2 linked regions of the Lonchura striata genome follow. The protein of the gene in region 1 purifies or fractionates together with the protein of each later gene. This does not show direct contact. Links are inferred from orthologs where the notes say so. Each region holds a gene or a part of one and is shown on either strand. Other genes may lie near its edges.

Region 1 (7,129 bases):
GTAAGAATTTGGTTTGCGTAGGAGGAGAGCAGCACAGCACAAAGAGAAACTGCTCTAAATCCCCCCATCTGTGGCTTGATCATTCTTCCCTTTCCCACATGGTTACAGCATTTTTGCAGAGTGGAAGTCGTAGCTATGAGGACTGAAAGAGCTTAAAGCACAGCTGCTTTTCACATCCATTCAGCTCTCCTCAGCCCTCTAGCTCTTTCCACAGCCTGGTCATGTCTGTGAGGCTTAGAAGCAGCACAGTGCCTCATAAAAACAAAAATTGGCCATAATTTCATATGAGTTCACAGCTGAAGCTCTTTGTTAGAGAGAGTAATTTTCTATAATAAATGACTCATTTTAAATTATATTAAGCCTATAGGTTCATTTGCGTCCTTTGTACCTGATGCAACAACAGTCAGTGAAGCCATAAAAGCCTGGAGCAAACCAGTAAGCCTTGAACTGGGATTCTCCTGGAGATATGTACTGGAGGGACACCAGTAAGAACAAGCTATCAAAGGATTTCTTATACATGTTTGCCAGCAGCCCTCTGGAGAGAAGCCCCAGGCCCTACCATCTTATCCTCTATGGGACAAGTAATCTTAGAACATATCTCTTTACTGGGTGGCAGAGGTATAAACATGTAAGAAATTCAAGGAAACCTGGTGTGCATCCTCCCTCTGCCAGAGCTCAGTGCTGCAAAGAAGAAAATGTATTTGGGCTCAATGGAAGAAATTGGTGACCCAGAGTTTCTGACACGTTACACCTCTGCAAACAACAGCATAAAACAGTGGCTGGGTCTAGCTTACTAATACCTCTACAACTGCATCTTATTGCTGTTAGAAGAGGCTAAATAACTATTCCTCCTGCCCCTCTTTGTAAGGAAATTAATCACTGATACAAAAATCCAGCAATCTTATAAAAAAAAAAAAAAAAAAAACTGGCTGAAAACTGGGAGAGTGAAGTAATATGTGTGAGACACTCACTAACCAAATCACTTTTTTCAACACCCTTGGTGCTGTTTATTCACTGTCCTGGCAGGAAACCAGACATCTTCTGAAATTAACAACGGGACAATTTTTCACCTCTCTGGTCCAGGTACTTATTTCCAGACAACTCTATTTGTAGCTGAAAATTTCTTCAGCTACTCTAAGGTATTTGGGAACTGAGCTCAGCATTAATGCTTGCTTCTCCTCCACAGAAATCTCTCCCTCATTGCCAAGAGAACATGGGTAGCACTGGAATTCCATGGGCCAGGTAGGATTCAATAAGGTAAGGATGGTGTCTCAAGGCATGAGCTATCCTTAAGCATTTCACCCCAGGCATTCAGTTCCACACAGAACTGAGCCCTTAATGAAAGGGAGCATAAAATCTCGCAGAAATAGTCAGATTTCAATTTATGTATTCACCGGCCTGGGAAACGTTTGCTCTAATCTCTCCCCTGGCAACTTTCACTAAAAATATTCTTTCATTTACTAATCTGTTCTTTGGGAGTTATTAGCTTTTTAATAAACATGATTAAATACTGAGGGAACTTGTACTTGCTTTCCAAGCCATTCTGGTTTTTTAGAGGATCAGTGACCAGTGTGGGATGTATGGAACCTCTCACTATTTTCCCCTCTGGAAAGGAAGTGGGAAATCTTTTACTTATGTTCTGCCTTTCTGTTGTTTAAATGTTGTTACAGATCTGTTTCTGTAAGCAAGACGTGAACTAGCTAAGAACAAAATAATCTGAAGAAAAAAGTTATTCTCAGCATTTCCTTTGCAGTTATTATTGCAGAAACGCCTTTGCTTATTTTGCAATTGATGACAATACAACAATAAATGTGAAGAAGTGACAACTGTTTGTTTCTGAGCAAACAGCTGGATCATTCTCCTAATTTCAGCAGAGTATTTCAGCCTTCTGGAAATGGGTCAATCGAGTGTTACTAAGCATCTGAAACTCAGAGTAAAAATAATGACTATGAGAAAACATACTTTATGTGAACAGCTGCTGAGTGGCGGATGAAAATCCTCTTCTTCCACATATTTCCTTTTAAAGTATGTGATCTTGGATGTCGTTACAGGATTTGAAATTCCCCTGTAATGTGATCCTGTGGGTAATAAATCAGATATGACAAATGACATGCGGTTTGCCGGAGGTTCTCCAAACAAAATACTTTTCATTTCCCTTCGCGCTACAGGAGAACGCCGCCGCATATTTTCGCATCGATCGGCGGCGATCAGCAATAAACCCTCTCCCGCCAGGCGCAGGACCCGCGGCCGGTGCGAGCGGCGGCGCGGGGAGCCGGGGCCGCCGCAGGGCGCTCGGTGCCGGACAACTGCGCCGCGACAGCGCCCGGCGGCCCCGCGCACCTGCGGCCCCGCGGGAGACCCCCGCCCTCCGCCCTCCGCCCGCCCCGCTCCGCGGACAGCCCCTGGTGCCGGGGCCGCCCGGTGCCCCCGCGGCGGTGCCGTGCCTACCTGCGGCGGGGGCCCCGGGGGCCGGCGGGCTTGGGGCCGCGGCCGGCGGGGCTGCGGGGCCGGGGCGGCCGCAGCAGGGCGGCTCCCAGAGGGCGCGGTAGGCGGCGAGGTCGGCGGCTCCCTCGGCGGCGATGGGGCGGCCCAGCCGCTGCATGGGCAGCACCAGGGTCATCGCGGGCGCCGGCACCTGGAAGCGAAGCAGCGCGGTGAGCGCCCGCCGCCCTCACCTGCCCCCCGCCCCGCCGCGTTCCGCCCCCCGCGGCCCCCAGCAGCCAGACCTCCGCGCACACGTATATGAAAAACATACGCGTATCGACCTCACATAGACACGCGTTTAGGGTTTTTTCCCCTCCCTCCTTACGGCAGGAGAAAGAGCGGAGCCCTCTCCCACAAAGGGCGCGGGGTCCCCGGCACCGGGAGTTGGTGCGCGCCGCCCCCGGCCCCGCTCCCGCCGCCCCCGGCCGCGCTCCGCTCCCCCCGCCGCCCCTTCCCGGCCCCGGCGGCGCTCACACACCGGCTCGGATCCGCTCACTGCCTTCCCATTTCCTCCCGGCGGCGGTGGCACGGCGCGCTCGGCACCGGCGGGGTGCGAGTCTGCCTGTCTGGGTGCGTGTGTCTGCGGTGCGTGTGTGTGCGAGAGAGAGCGCGCCCAGCAGTCCGGGATCGCCTTCCTTTCTTCTTTCTTCCCTCCCAAACGATACAGACAGCGGAGACTTAGGTAGTTGTTTCCACTAGCCCCGATCGGACTGAACTGGATCTGCCTCCAGTCAAAACACTGCGAGACTAAAGACAGAAAATTGGCTCCGGTTTCACGCCGTGAGTTGCGGTCCCACCGGAGCCAAGCACAACATCGGCGGAGCGGGCGGAATATTAAGCAGGAGCGGGGACTCCGGGGCCAGCGCCGGGCTGCGAGCTGCCTCCTGCCGCGCCAGCGGGCGGGAGGGGAGGGGAGCAGGGGGGGAAGGCGGCAAACTTTCTGCGAGGAGCGAGGGATGAGTTCATAGTCACCTACTTCTTGGCAGAGGAGCGCGGAACAATGCGCCCAGACACGGCCCGGCCCCTCCCTCTCCTTCCTCCTCCTCTCTCTAAGAAAGCGGGATGTAGTTTCCCCTCGGCGCAGCCCTCCCGGAGGAGGGCGACGGCCCGAGCAGGCGGCGGGAAGGAGGGGCTGCAGGTGGGCAGGTGGAATTTCAGCAATTGTTTGTGTTAGCAGCCGAGCGCTCTCGAACAAGAGGAAAAAATAAACCGCAGCAGAAGAGGGAGGAAAAATAAATCGTTCACATCTGCCAGTTGTTTTCTTAAATCCTAGCACAAGGCTGCTACTTTATTAAGAAACGGCTTCCAGCGTGCGCTGTTTGTGTCTTGGATGCCTGCATGCATGGATCTGCCTTGCCTCCTCACCGGGGCACAAACGGGAGCTGGAGGCACAGGCAGCTGCGGTCCCCAGGCAGTTTGCCTTAGTAAGGGCCACCAGTCTCGCTGCAGGAGGACTGACAGGTGCCTAAACCCCTTCCTCAGAGCCAATTTACTGCTAATGCACTGCATATAGACCTCAGTCATTTTTCTTGCCATCTTGTTTTTCTTGGACCAAGGAACAGCATAGGGAATGGCAAGCCGCTGGTTGGCCCTTTGAAAGTTACCCCTGACACAGACAACATCTATTATTTATTCCCCACACCTTGTCTTACCAGCTGAGAACCAACACATGGAAGGAGTGGTCAAAACAACTGAGTCAGTCTGCTGATCTAACAGCAGGACCAAGAAGTGACCCCAAGAACCAGCTAAAACCTCATATATTTTGTATCTGAAAAGATTACACCATCATTAGAAAGCAGCAATGGACTCTTCTCATTAATCCAGATGGAGGAATCATTCACAGGGGCACATCAATCTTCTCACATTGGCAAGACATCAACACTCAGTGTTTGTCCTGAGAGAATAAGGGTTGGAAGAAACTCACTACTGCTTCTGGAAGTCAAGATTCTTTGCTCATAATGAATACAGCATCTCTTTGTGAATTTACTTTTTTTAAATGAGAATCTGAGATTTCAAGTCTGCATCTTTTTCTTACCATATTTCTTCACAAATAGGTCTCTCTAAGCTCAAGCAGAAACATGCAGGAAGGAAGGAAGGAAGGAAGCTTTCTGCATAGTGCTGCTAATTTATCTTGAAAAACTGAGTTCTCTGGACAGCCACGAAAGTAAATGAACTGTTTTTGCTATTTACAACATGCAAAATTAATAGAGGCAGGCCAGTTCACTTCTGTAAACAGCAACTGTCCATGCACATTCTCCATATTTCCAAACTGTATAAAAACAAGGCATAAATAATATCGCTTCCCTGGGAGAAACAAAACACAACCACCAGAAAACCAAAGCCCCAAACAAAGCTTGTAGATCTCAGCATGTGTTACAAAGATTTAGAGGTGGCTCTCAGCTAAAAAATAAGTCCTATTTTGTGGCAGAGTAATTGCTTCAGCATACAGATGCTGAGAACCAGGCTTTTAAAAGGCCTGGTGACTCTGGGTGCGCTATTTGTTCCCCTTGGATGTTGAGAAGCAGTGATTTCCAGCTGTTGCAAATGAGTGGGAAGAGAGCTGCAAGCACCCAAGCACATGGGAAAAGTTGGCCTCCTTGAAGGTGGAGTTGGACACAGCAGAACTGTGAGCCAGTGTTTACTGAGGAAGCACCATCAGACCCAGCTCTGCAAACAGGACCTCTGGCACTGCTCCCCAAGAGCCAACCTACTGCTTTTCCCCATTAAGGGTGGCAAAATCCATCCCTGAGTATCTTGCCAGAAGTCACACAGCAAATCAGTGTCAGCGCCAGAAATAGAACCAGATCTCATCATTCTCCAGCCGTAAGCCCAACCCATTTATATTACATTATCTTATGCAATGGAGGGATTTCATCCAAAATCCCGTTGGTTTCAATGAGACTTTGCAGAACAGCACACACATTGTTACATTTCCATTAGCGCCTCTGGAAATAAAGGATGAAAGATGTACATTTGAACATACAATACATTTACAATATAAAATTACAGCAAAAGGTTGACACTTGGGGCTGGATTCAATTTTGAAAAATCCATTTAGGAGCCTTGTGTGGGCTTCAGTGGCATGGAAGCCAGGCACAGTTTTTTATTGAACCCAGCCCTCCATCCTTAGGCTACCAGAATTTTTCCATTTTGTCAGCCAAATGCATTCAGTGTGAGGACACCCCGAGGCATCAGCCTGAAGGTTAAAATGTCAAACTTTTTCCGTGTTCGGTTTCACACAGTAAGACGACTATACATCGCAAGCACGCTACTCCATTTGCTGGGGTTTTCACTCCCTATTCCTCCAGAGCCATTATGATGTTAATGAGAGAACTGTAATGATGCCATTCACATTACAAAAAGCCTGATGCGATGTCAGAGAAAGGGGCTTTTTATACAGTTCCAGAATGCCTCTAAAAACCCAAACTTAAATATAAAATGCCCATGACTATAAAGCTGCAAGTCTCACTGAGACCAATAAAAACAAGGGAACAGACTTAAGACGGCTATTCCTTGTTTAGCCCTGGGTTTGTACCCAAGAACTGCAGCAGGTTCAGTTTTTATCACATAGTGTGGAGCTTTCCATTGCATAACAACATGGCTTGAGGAGAGAATAGCATTTCTCAGCTGTGCTATGCCATTTTTAACATCTGGATTGCAGTACTTAGAAAACAAAATTGCCATCGTTTTGGTAGCTGTTACCTTTCTGACATTTCAGAAAATTTTCAGTGCAGAAGCAATAAGGAGTCCCATTGCACACAGCCTGTGCAGACCCACTGTCTAAGGAAGCAATGACAGCTGGCAAGAGGAAGGGGAAAGGCACAAACACATACCCAGACTGATGTACCTCCCTTAAAAAAAAACCCCGACTGCATCACCTGTAAACCAGTCCAGGCTAACCTCATCGTAAACTACCTGCTCTTTATGGTTGATGCAACAAAGTTTGGTGTTGCCAATTTAGCTGAGGGAGGCAGGGCATCCTGTGGACAAGAGCGTCATGGAAAAGGGCATAAAGGCTCCCCTGGGAGCAGCAGATAAAGGCATCACTGGCAAAGAGTGCACAGCCATGCTGTAGAGACAATGGTGGAGTGATGACAGCTATGGCAGAACTGTGACAACCTCACATGGGAAAATAAAAGACTGGATGGAGGCAAATAAGGAGGAGAGGCAGGAGGTAGCTTGGCTCTGACCACAGCAGCGGACAGGGAAGAGGATGTTGGGAGTTTGTTGTTTAAATAGATCAAACTGGCTGATGTGGCACAGGTTCAAGGAGGAGGAAGTTACAAACAGAGATGGGAGATAATGAGGACCTTGATTAAAATGTTTATTGTTTGGATAGATGCATATGTAGCTGTAGTAATGTTATGAATGAAGCAGTGGAAATGCAAGGGACACCTAATCACAGCACACTGGGGCAGCCCAGTCACAGGAAATGAAAGCAAAGGATCAAAGACAATTCCAGCACTCAGGGCTTTGGAGACAAGCTGAGCAGCAAGGCTGCAAGAAGTGGAAAACCCTCTGGAACTGACTATAATGGATTTAAATTGAAAACTGGACTTCCAAGAGACAGCCCATGGTAGGGAGAGTTCTTCCTTCTCTTACTGGTATAAGGTAGCTGAGGAGAACTGCATCATGCCAGGGCACA
Region 2 (7,883 bases), on another chromosome or scaffold:
TTCCATGGGCAATCAGTGCAAGTTTTGGAGTCATGTGGTTAACACTAACAACAGAATTACAACACAATCTTTAATTAGCTTTGTTTTCAAATTGTGATTGTTGCCATCCCTAATATTAAGTCTTTCACCCAATCTCTATTTTATAATCTGTTTTATCCTTCAGTCCTCTCCCCCGAATCCAACTAAACTATTCCGTTCTAGAAAAGTCCTACCCAACCCTTTACAAAATCCATAGTCAAGAAGTGATGGATTCTCCTGGTCTTTCAGAAACGGTCAGACTGAACAGTGCCCTTCTCTTTCCTGACACAGAGCCTGGACAGAGGTCAGGGATTAGTCACCGAGGAAAGGCAAGGCACGGACAAGACAAAGAGGAGACAGTGATTTTCTGTATTAATGACCCACTTAGGAAAATCCAGCTGCCAATCTGATACAGTTGTCCCAGTGTTTGTGATGAAGCCAGACACCTGAGAAACAACTATGGAATATAAAATGTGCAATAGAACTGCACTGTAAAAGAACGGATTTTCTGGTAAAGTCGCCTGGCTGAGCAGTTTCAACTCCTGAATAAACCCCTAAGAAAATCTGGCAAAACACTCTGCATGGAATAGGCTGGACAGCAACTTCATGGTGTCCTCCTCCTCTAGAGAGCTAATTTTTCACAAAACAGACCAAAAATTGACAGCAGTAGCAAGTTTGCACTGTCACAAAAATTTATGTGTAATTTGAAGGCTATTTCAAGGCAACAGTTGTCCATCAAGCAGGTTTAGATGTGCAGTTTGGTAAGAGAGGATTTAAAAGATGGCAGTGAGTAAATATGTCCCTAACTGAGGCCCAAAACCTAGCCATGTATTTGTACTCTTACTAGGAAATTAAATTTGGGCAGTTATTAGAAAATAAGTAGCATATTTTTTATATTCAATTTCAAGGCAAAATGTAAGAGGAGGGGAAAGGCCACAAATCAAAACAAAAAACCAAGAAGTCACAAAGCCTGTAAATAGTTCTGGTATTCCCACGGGAAAACAAAACTTTAGTGTTAGTTTTGCAAAACCAGGTGCTGAACGATTCCTGGAGCTCTCCTGCTCTGTGTAAATCCAGGCTGCTCAGGAGTTATCTGGGAAGCAAAGTGCCCCCAGGAGCCAAAAGTCCCCAGAACTATATCCTTTACTCATGGAGAACTGGCTTTTAGTCACACAGGTGACAGACCTGAGAAAAAAGAACCACTTAAAAAACATACAAGCTACTTCTGTACATTTCTACAACATTTCTGGGAACTTCAGAGCAAGCTACAAAACATACAGAGGGAAGAAAAAGGAAGAAAACAACTGAGTGAGTGTAGTTTCTCGAGCAGTTTCCAGTCTATCCCTCCAATGGCCATTATTTTAAATGGAATGCCAAACAAGTGGCATGAAAATGAAAACACTGTCAGCGTAATTTCCCGTAGCAGGCAGCAAGGAAAAATATTTACTGCATCCAGTAATAAAAATAAAATCCCAAACCCAAGCTGAGCACACAGGCCCTGCAAGTTAATTCACACTTTCGAAAGAAGCACTGCCAACCTGGACAGTTAGAACACATGAAATTTAGGGGCAGAAAAAGAACTTTCTCATCAGAGTCAAGCAAAACTCCACCCAGACTCTGCACACTACAGCAAACACTTTTCCCAGTTAAAACATTTCTTATTTTCTACTCTGTCCAAAACATGAAGCGCCTGGAAAGTTTCAGAGAAATGTGAAGGTGTGCCCTTTTTCCCTGCTTAATATCCCTATTTATAGCTCCCTAACGTTAACAAGTGGGAATCAAATCTCTCCACAGCTGCAGGAACCCTTTAAACTGCACTTTTCAATGCAGCACAAATGACAGAGCTGCACTCTCTGTGCGTCAGAGCGAAACTTGACAAGCCTGACAGACTCCACTGGTGTTTCTTTTTTTCCTCTCCCTGTATCGTATCACTGTTGTTACCTTTTATCCTGAGCCCAGAACTGTAGACAGTTATCCTAAGCCCAGAAGTGTGCCCAGTTCTGGGCTCCTCAGGACCAGAAAGCCAAGGAGCCACTGGAGAGAGAGGCCACAGAGTCCTTCTGGGACTGGAGCATCTCTGAGCTGAGGAGAGGCTCTGGCAGCTGGGCTGCTCAGGCTGCAGCAGGGAAGGCTGAGGGGGGACCCCGCCGAGCCCTGCAAATCTCCCCGAGGGCTGGCAGGGCCGGTGCCAGGGCCAGGACAAGGAGCACGGGCAGAGCTGAGGCACAGCGAGTTCAGCCCAGCGAGAGGAAGAAAAGAACTCGTGTGCATGGAGGGGCAGGGCCCTGGAGCAGCTGCCCGGGAGGGGCCGGGGTCTCCCTCTGCAGAGCCGTTCCGAGCCCTGCGGGACCCGTTCCGGTGTGCCCGGCTCCCGGTGAGCCCGGGCCGGGGGATCCCAGAGGCGCCGCAGGCCCAGCTACCCAGGGATTCAGGGATTGCACCGGAGACCCGGAGGAAGGCGCCGTGGCTGCTCCGTGATGCTCCAGGGGTGGGAGCTCGCTTAGTCATGGCACAGCCCGGCACGGCCGGGGATGCTGCGGCGCTGCCCGCGGCCGCCCGAGCGCGCAGCCGGGCTCCCCTCACCTTCCGCCACGTCCTCGTCGATCGCCCCCTTCACCTGCAAGAAGCACCACTGCACCTCGCTGCTGCTGCCGCCGCCGTCGCCTCCAGCTCTCGCCACTACTGCGGAGGAGAAAGGGCGGTGAGCGAGCGGGGAGGGAGGGAGAGGAGCGCCCCGCGCCCGGCCCGGCCCGGCCCGCCGCGCTCCCGCATCCCCGCCGCTGCCGCCCGGCGCGGCCCGGCCTGCGCCCGGCCCCGCGGCCCCGCGGCGCCCAGCCCCGGCCCGTCCCGGCCCGTCCCGGCGCGGAGCTGGGGCGCGGACACAGACCTGCCATGGCGGGGGGAGCCGCGGGAGCGGGGCCGGGAGCGGGGCCGGGAGCGGGACGGAGCCGCCCGGAGCCGCGGGAGGGTTCGCGGTTTCAAAATGGCGCCCATTGCCGGGCGGCCCGGCCGTGACGTCACCGCCGGCTCCCCTCGGGGAGGGCGGGCCGGGCGGCGAGCGGGGCGGCACGGCGTGCAATGGCACGGCACGGCACGGCACGGCACGGCACGGCGTGCAATGGCACGGCATGGTACCGGCACGGCACGGTACCGGTACGGCACGGCATGGTACCGGTACGGCATGGCATGGTACGGCATGGCATGGTACAGCACGGCACGGCGTGCAATGGCACGCCACGGCATGGCACGGTACCGGTACGGCACGGCATGGCACGGCACGGCACGGCACGGCGTGCAATGGCACGCCACGGCACGGCACGGCATGGCACGGCATGGCACGGTACCGGTACGGCATGGCACGTACCGGTACGGCATGGCATGGTACGGCATGGTACGGCACGGCACGGCATGGCACCGGTACGGCACGGCACGGCATGGTACGGCATGGTACAGCATGGTACGGTGCGGTACGGCATGATACCGGCACGGCATGGCACGGCATGGTACCGGCACGGCACGGCACGGTACCGGTACGGCACGGCACGGCATGGTACGGTGCAGTACGGCATGGTACCGCACGGCACGGTACGTCATGGTACCGGCATGGCACGGTACCGGCACGGCACGGCACGGCACGGTACCGGTACGACACGGCATGGCATGGTACAGGCACGGTATGCCATGGCACAGCACGGCACGGCACGGTATGGCACGGTACCGGCACGGCACGGTCCCGGCCCCGGCTCCGCGGGACGCGCAGGGCACCGGAGGATAAGCATGAGGAGGAGGAGGAGGAGGAGGAAGGAGCGCGGCTCGGAGCCGTGCCGGCGCTCCCAGGCAGCACGGGGGGCTCAGCATGAGGAGGAGGAGGAGGAGGAGGAAGGAGCGCGGCTCGGAGCCGTGCCGGCGCTCCCCAGCCGCTCCACACGCGGCTTTCCGTGAAGGGACGGGAGCGTCACAGCAGAGACCTCGCTGTGCGTCCCGGTTTGGTTCTGCTCGCTCCCCCAAGGGTTAATTGTGATGAGGGGAAAACCAAACTAACCAAAAGAGCAAAAACCCAAACGTGCCTCTGACTCCTTTGCGCCAGAGCCGGGTGAGGGGAGGGAGGGAGCAGGGCCTCAGGGACAGGTTTATCACAGAATTCCAGAGTCGCTGGGGCTGGAAAAGCCCTCAGGATCACCGAGTCCACCCTGTGCCCATCCCCACCCTGTCCCCAGCCCAGAGCTCCGAGTGCCACCTCCGGGTGACACCTCCAGGGACGGGCACTGCCACCCTCCTGGGCAGCGCCTGCCGAGGCCTCAGCAGCCCTCAGAGACAGCCTTTCCTAAGCCCGGCTCTGTGTCTCAGTCACAGCCTTTCCTAAACCCGGCTCTGTGTCTCAGTCACAGCCTTTCCTCAGCCCGGCTCTCAGTCACAGCCTTTCCTAAACCCGGCTCTGTGTCTCAGTCACAGCCTTTCCTAAACCCGGCTCTGGTGTCTCAGTCACAGCCTTTCCTCAGCCCGGCTCTCAGTCACAGCCTTTCCTAAACCCGGCTCTCAGTGACAGCCTTTCCTAAACCCAGCTCTGTGTCTCAGGCACAGCCTTTCCTCAGCCCGGCTGTCAGTCACAGCCTTTCCTAAACCCGGCTCTGTGTCTCAGGCACAGCCTTTCCTAAGCCCAGCTCTGCTCTCATGTCTCAGTCACAGCCTTTCCTAAGCCCAGTTCTCAGTCACAGCCTTTCCTCAGCCCGGCTCTCAGTCACAGCCTTTCCTAAACCCGGCTCTCAGTGACAGCCTTTCCTAAACCCAGCTCTGTGTCTCAGTCACAGCCTTTCCTAAACCCGGCTCTGTGTCTCAGGCACAGCCTTTCCTAAGCCCAGCTCTGCTCTCATGTCTCAGTCACAGCCTTTCCTAAGCCCAGTTCTCAGTCACAGCCTTTCCTCAGCCCGGCTGTCAGTCACAGCCTTTCCTAAACCCGGCTCTGTGTCTCAGGCACAGCCTTTCCTAAGCCCAGCTCTGCTCTCATGTCTCAGTCACAGCCTTTCCTAAGCCCAGCTCTCAGTCACAGCCTTTCCTAAGCCCGGCTCTGCTCTCATGTCTCAGTCACAGCCTTTCCTAAGCCCGGCTCTGCTCTCATGTCTCAGTCACAGCCTTTCCTATGCCCAGTTCTCAGTCACAGCCTTTCCTCAGCCCGGCTCTCAGGGACAGCCTTTCCTAAGCCCAGCTCTGCTCTCATGCCTCAGGGACAGCCTTTCCTCAGCCCAGCTCTCAGTCACAGCTTTTCTTCATCCGGCTCGTGTCCCCCCACACCGTTCCTCGCCCCGGGCAGGAGGGCCCGGCCCGGCTCCGGAGCTGCCCGTGGTGATTTGGGATCCAGCCCCAAGCCCCGGCCCTGGGGCTGTGCTGGCCGGGTTTGGCCGCGGGCAGGGCTGGGAGGAGGGAACGCGGCCGGGATCCCTCCGGATCTGCGCTCCTGGAGCTCCAGGGCTGCAGGTGTCCGACCACGGCTGCGGAGCTGCCCCTTCCCTGCATCTCCTGCCTCACAAACTCAATATTCCTGCTGCCCCGTTGAGTTCGGGCCTCTCCTGACTGCTCCTTTTCCAAGCACGGATACTGGAATTTGTGGAGATGCAATTTCTGCCCCTAAATCCAAAAGAGCAGAAAGAAATGAAAATGAATTCTGTGTTTGCCCCAAACCCCGTCTATTAATACATTCCTGGTCTCGCAGTCCTTTGGAAAATGGTACAATTTAAAGAACTTTAAAGCCCAGCTGCTCCTAGGGAAGGGCTAAGTGCTTGGAAAGGCGACAGGTCTGCACTGTTGTGTCTCAGTCTGAGGTGGTTTCCTAAGTCCTGTTGGTTGTAGGAAATGCAAGGAAATTGGTTGATGAACAGACTTGGTTAATTGTGATCTTGAGCCCAGGTGAGTGAAGAACATCCCCTTACAGAGTAAGAGTCTTGTTAGGAACAAGTAATTCTCTCTGCTGGAAGTCTTTATCTTACTGAATGGAATTTTACCTGGAGGTTCTTGAGGATTTTCCTGTGGAAGGGCTAAAGTCTAGCACTTGCCTGAGTTCAGGATGGTTCCTCTCAGAGACATTACTCCTCTGGGCTTGCAGCCTTTTCTTGGTAATTTAGATACAGAAATGCGTTTGACTCAGGTTTTCCTTATTTAATTTCTTGCTATGACATCTGTACCCATTTATAGACTCATTACTTGATTTGTGTTTATTCCTTATGTAGTGTGTTGTGTATCAAGTGTTTAAATAAAATATTTTTTTACTTAGTCTCTTGGCTGTAGGAAAGTCATCCTGAAGGGCAAAGAATGCCTTTAAACCCTGCTCTTTGGCAGAGTCCTTCTCCCATGCCCTGGCACTCCAGGCCCTTGTAAATCATCTCTCTCCAGTTTCTTGCTGGCTCCTCCAGCCCCGTGAGGCCACCCCGAGGTCACCCCACCCTTCTCCCCTGCAGGTTCCAGTGCAGCTCTGCCAGCAGAGCTGCTCCATCCTCTGATCATTGGGTGCCTCCTCTGGATCCTCTGCAGCAGCTCCAGGTCCCTCTGAGCCAGCTCTGCAGGTGGGGCTCACCTGGGCACGGGGCACAATTCCCCTTTCCTGCTGCCCAGGCTGGGGACAGGGGGTTGGGAAAGCTTTCCCTGCTCAGCCCGGGGGGTGTGGGCAGAGGTGTTGCACAGGCCGGGCACGGGGCTGGGTGTGTGCTCTTGCAGAATTCCAGAACTCGGGCACAGGGTGACAGAGCGGCTGTTCCCAGTCGCTGGGTCCCTGCCGTGTACTGGGGTGCACGCACAAGGAGCTGACGTTCTGCCTGGCCACGCCGAGCAAGGAAAGCTCCCGAGAACAAAGTTTCCACGTGTGCTCTGGAAATAGGATCCTGCGGGGCCAGCTGCCCTCCGTGCCCCGTGTGCTGCTGCCCCGTCCCTCATTTTCCACCCTCTGCAGAGGGCCAACAGCCCTGAGCCTGCCAGGGCGCTCTCACTGCCTCTGCTCTGAAAAGAGACGGTGCTGCAAGGGTAATTCCCAAAAACACGGGGCAATCCATGGAAAGAGCGTTTATCCTGAAGGGAAGTACAGCTGGTGGGCACAGGGAGTCACATTTTGTTAACAGATAGAAACCACACGCACCTCACGTGCTAATTGACAGCACAACACCTGATTATTCTTAGGTGAGAAGCGCAACAGATCTTTTTCCCATGGAATTTTTGTCAGTGTTCCAAACTTCGGAGCAAGCCTGTGGTTTGGCAGCTGGTGGGTTTCCTTATGAGCCCTGTGTTCAGTAATTTTGCTGTGTTTTTTACACCTATGGTGTATGAAGAGTCCTTGTTCACCTCTGGTGGTTCCTGCCCAGGTCCCTGCTCCCGCAGCTGAGCACAGACCCCTCTGTCCCTGAAATCCTGGTCTTGTATGAGGTATGCATGGCATGCTGACTTTTCCTGCTCCAAAGCAGACTTTTCCTTCCATCCAAGCCCCTCAGGAAAGCCCCTTTGTCACCTCCAGGCAAATGTCCTAAGCCTCGTGGTCCGGCTTTTCCCTCCCTGCTGTCCCCGTGCCATCACCTTCCTGGCTGTCGCCAGCCTGTCCCGTGCACAGCTCCCGTGGCTCAGTGTCCCTCTGCCCTGGCACCAGCCCAGCCCTGGCCCTGGAGAGGGGAGCTCTTCCAGGAAGGAGCAGCACAGCGTTTTCCTGGCACCGTGTGTGTCCTGGGGAGAGGGACGGGAGGGACGAGGCCATGCGCTCTCTATTTCTGGCTGCAGGGCACAGGGTGCCCGCTGAGTCGCTGTTCTGCCCTGCTCACCCTCAGGTAGCCTCCCCAGGTGTTCCACAGGGCTCCCAGAGAGGCTGGAGCGTGAGGAGAAGGGAGGGATCACAG

The links. The genes of interacting proteins can lie anywhere in the genome.
Region 2: the proteins of SERTAD4 (region 1) and PPP2R2D purify together in Homo sapiens (affinity purification with mass spectrometry; 3 studies listed by BioGRID and IntAct, counting the BioPlex papers as one, with this or other methods). This does not show direct contact. The link is inferred for Lonchura striata from reciprocal best matches to the Homo sapiens genes SERTAD4 and PPP2R2D.

What each region holds. Positions count from the first base shown.
Region 1 is NC_134605.1:12,753,002-12,760,130, forward strand, and holds the start of SERTAD4 (SERTA domain-containing protein 4), read right to left. Parts: upstream 3,043-7,129; 5' UTR 2,963-3,042; intron 2,636-2,962; 5' UTR 2,621-2,635; coding exon 2,449-2,620; intron 2,079-2,448; coding exon 1,963-2,078; intron 1-1,962.
Region 2 is NC_134609.1:31,970,031-31,977,913, reverse strand, and holds the start of PPP2R2D (serine/threonine-protein phosphatase 2A 55 kDa regulatory subunit B delta isoform), read right to left. Parts: upstream 3,042-7,883; 5' UTR 2,913-3,041; coding exon 2,906-2,912; intron 2,701-2,905; coding exon 2,602-2,700; intron 1-2,601. UniProt on the Homo sapiens protein: Substrate-recognition subunit of protein phosphatase 2A (PP2A) that plays a key role in cell cycle by controlling mitosis entry and exit. Involved in chromosome clustering during late mitosis by mediating dephosphorylation of MKI67.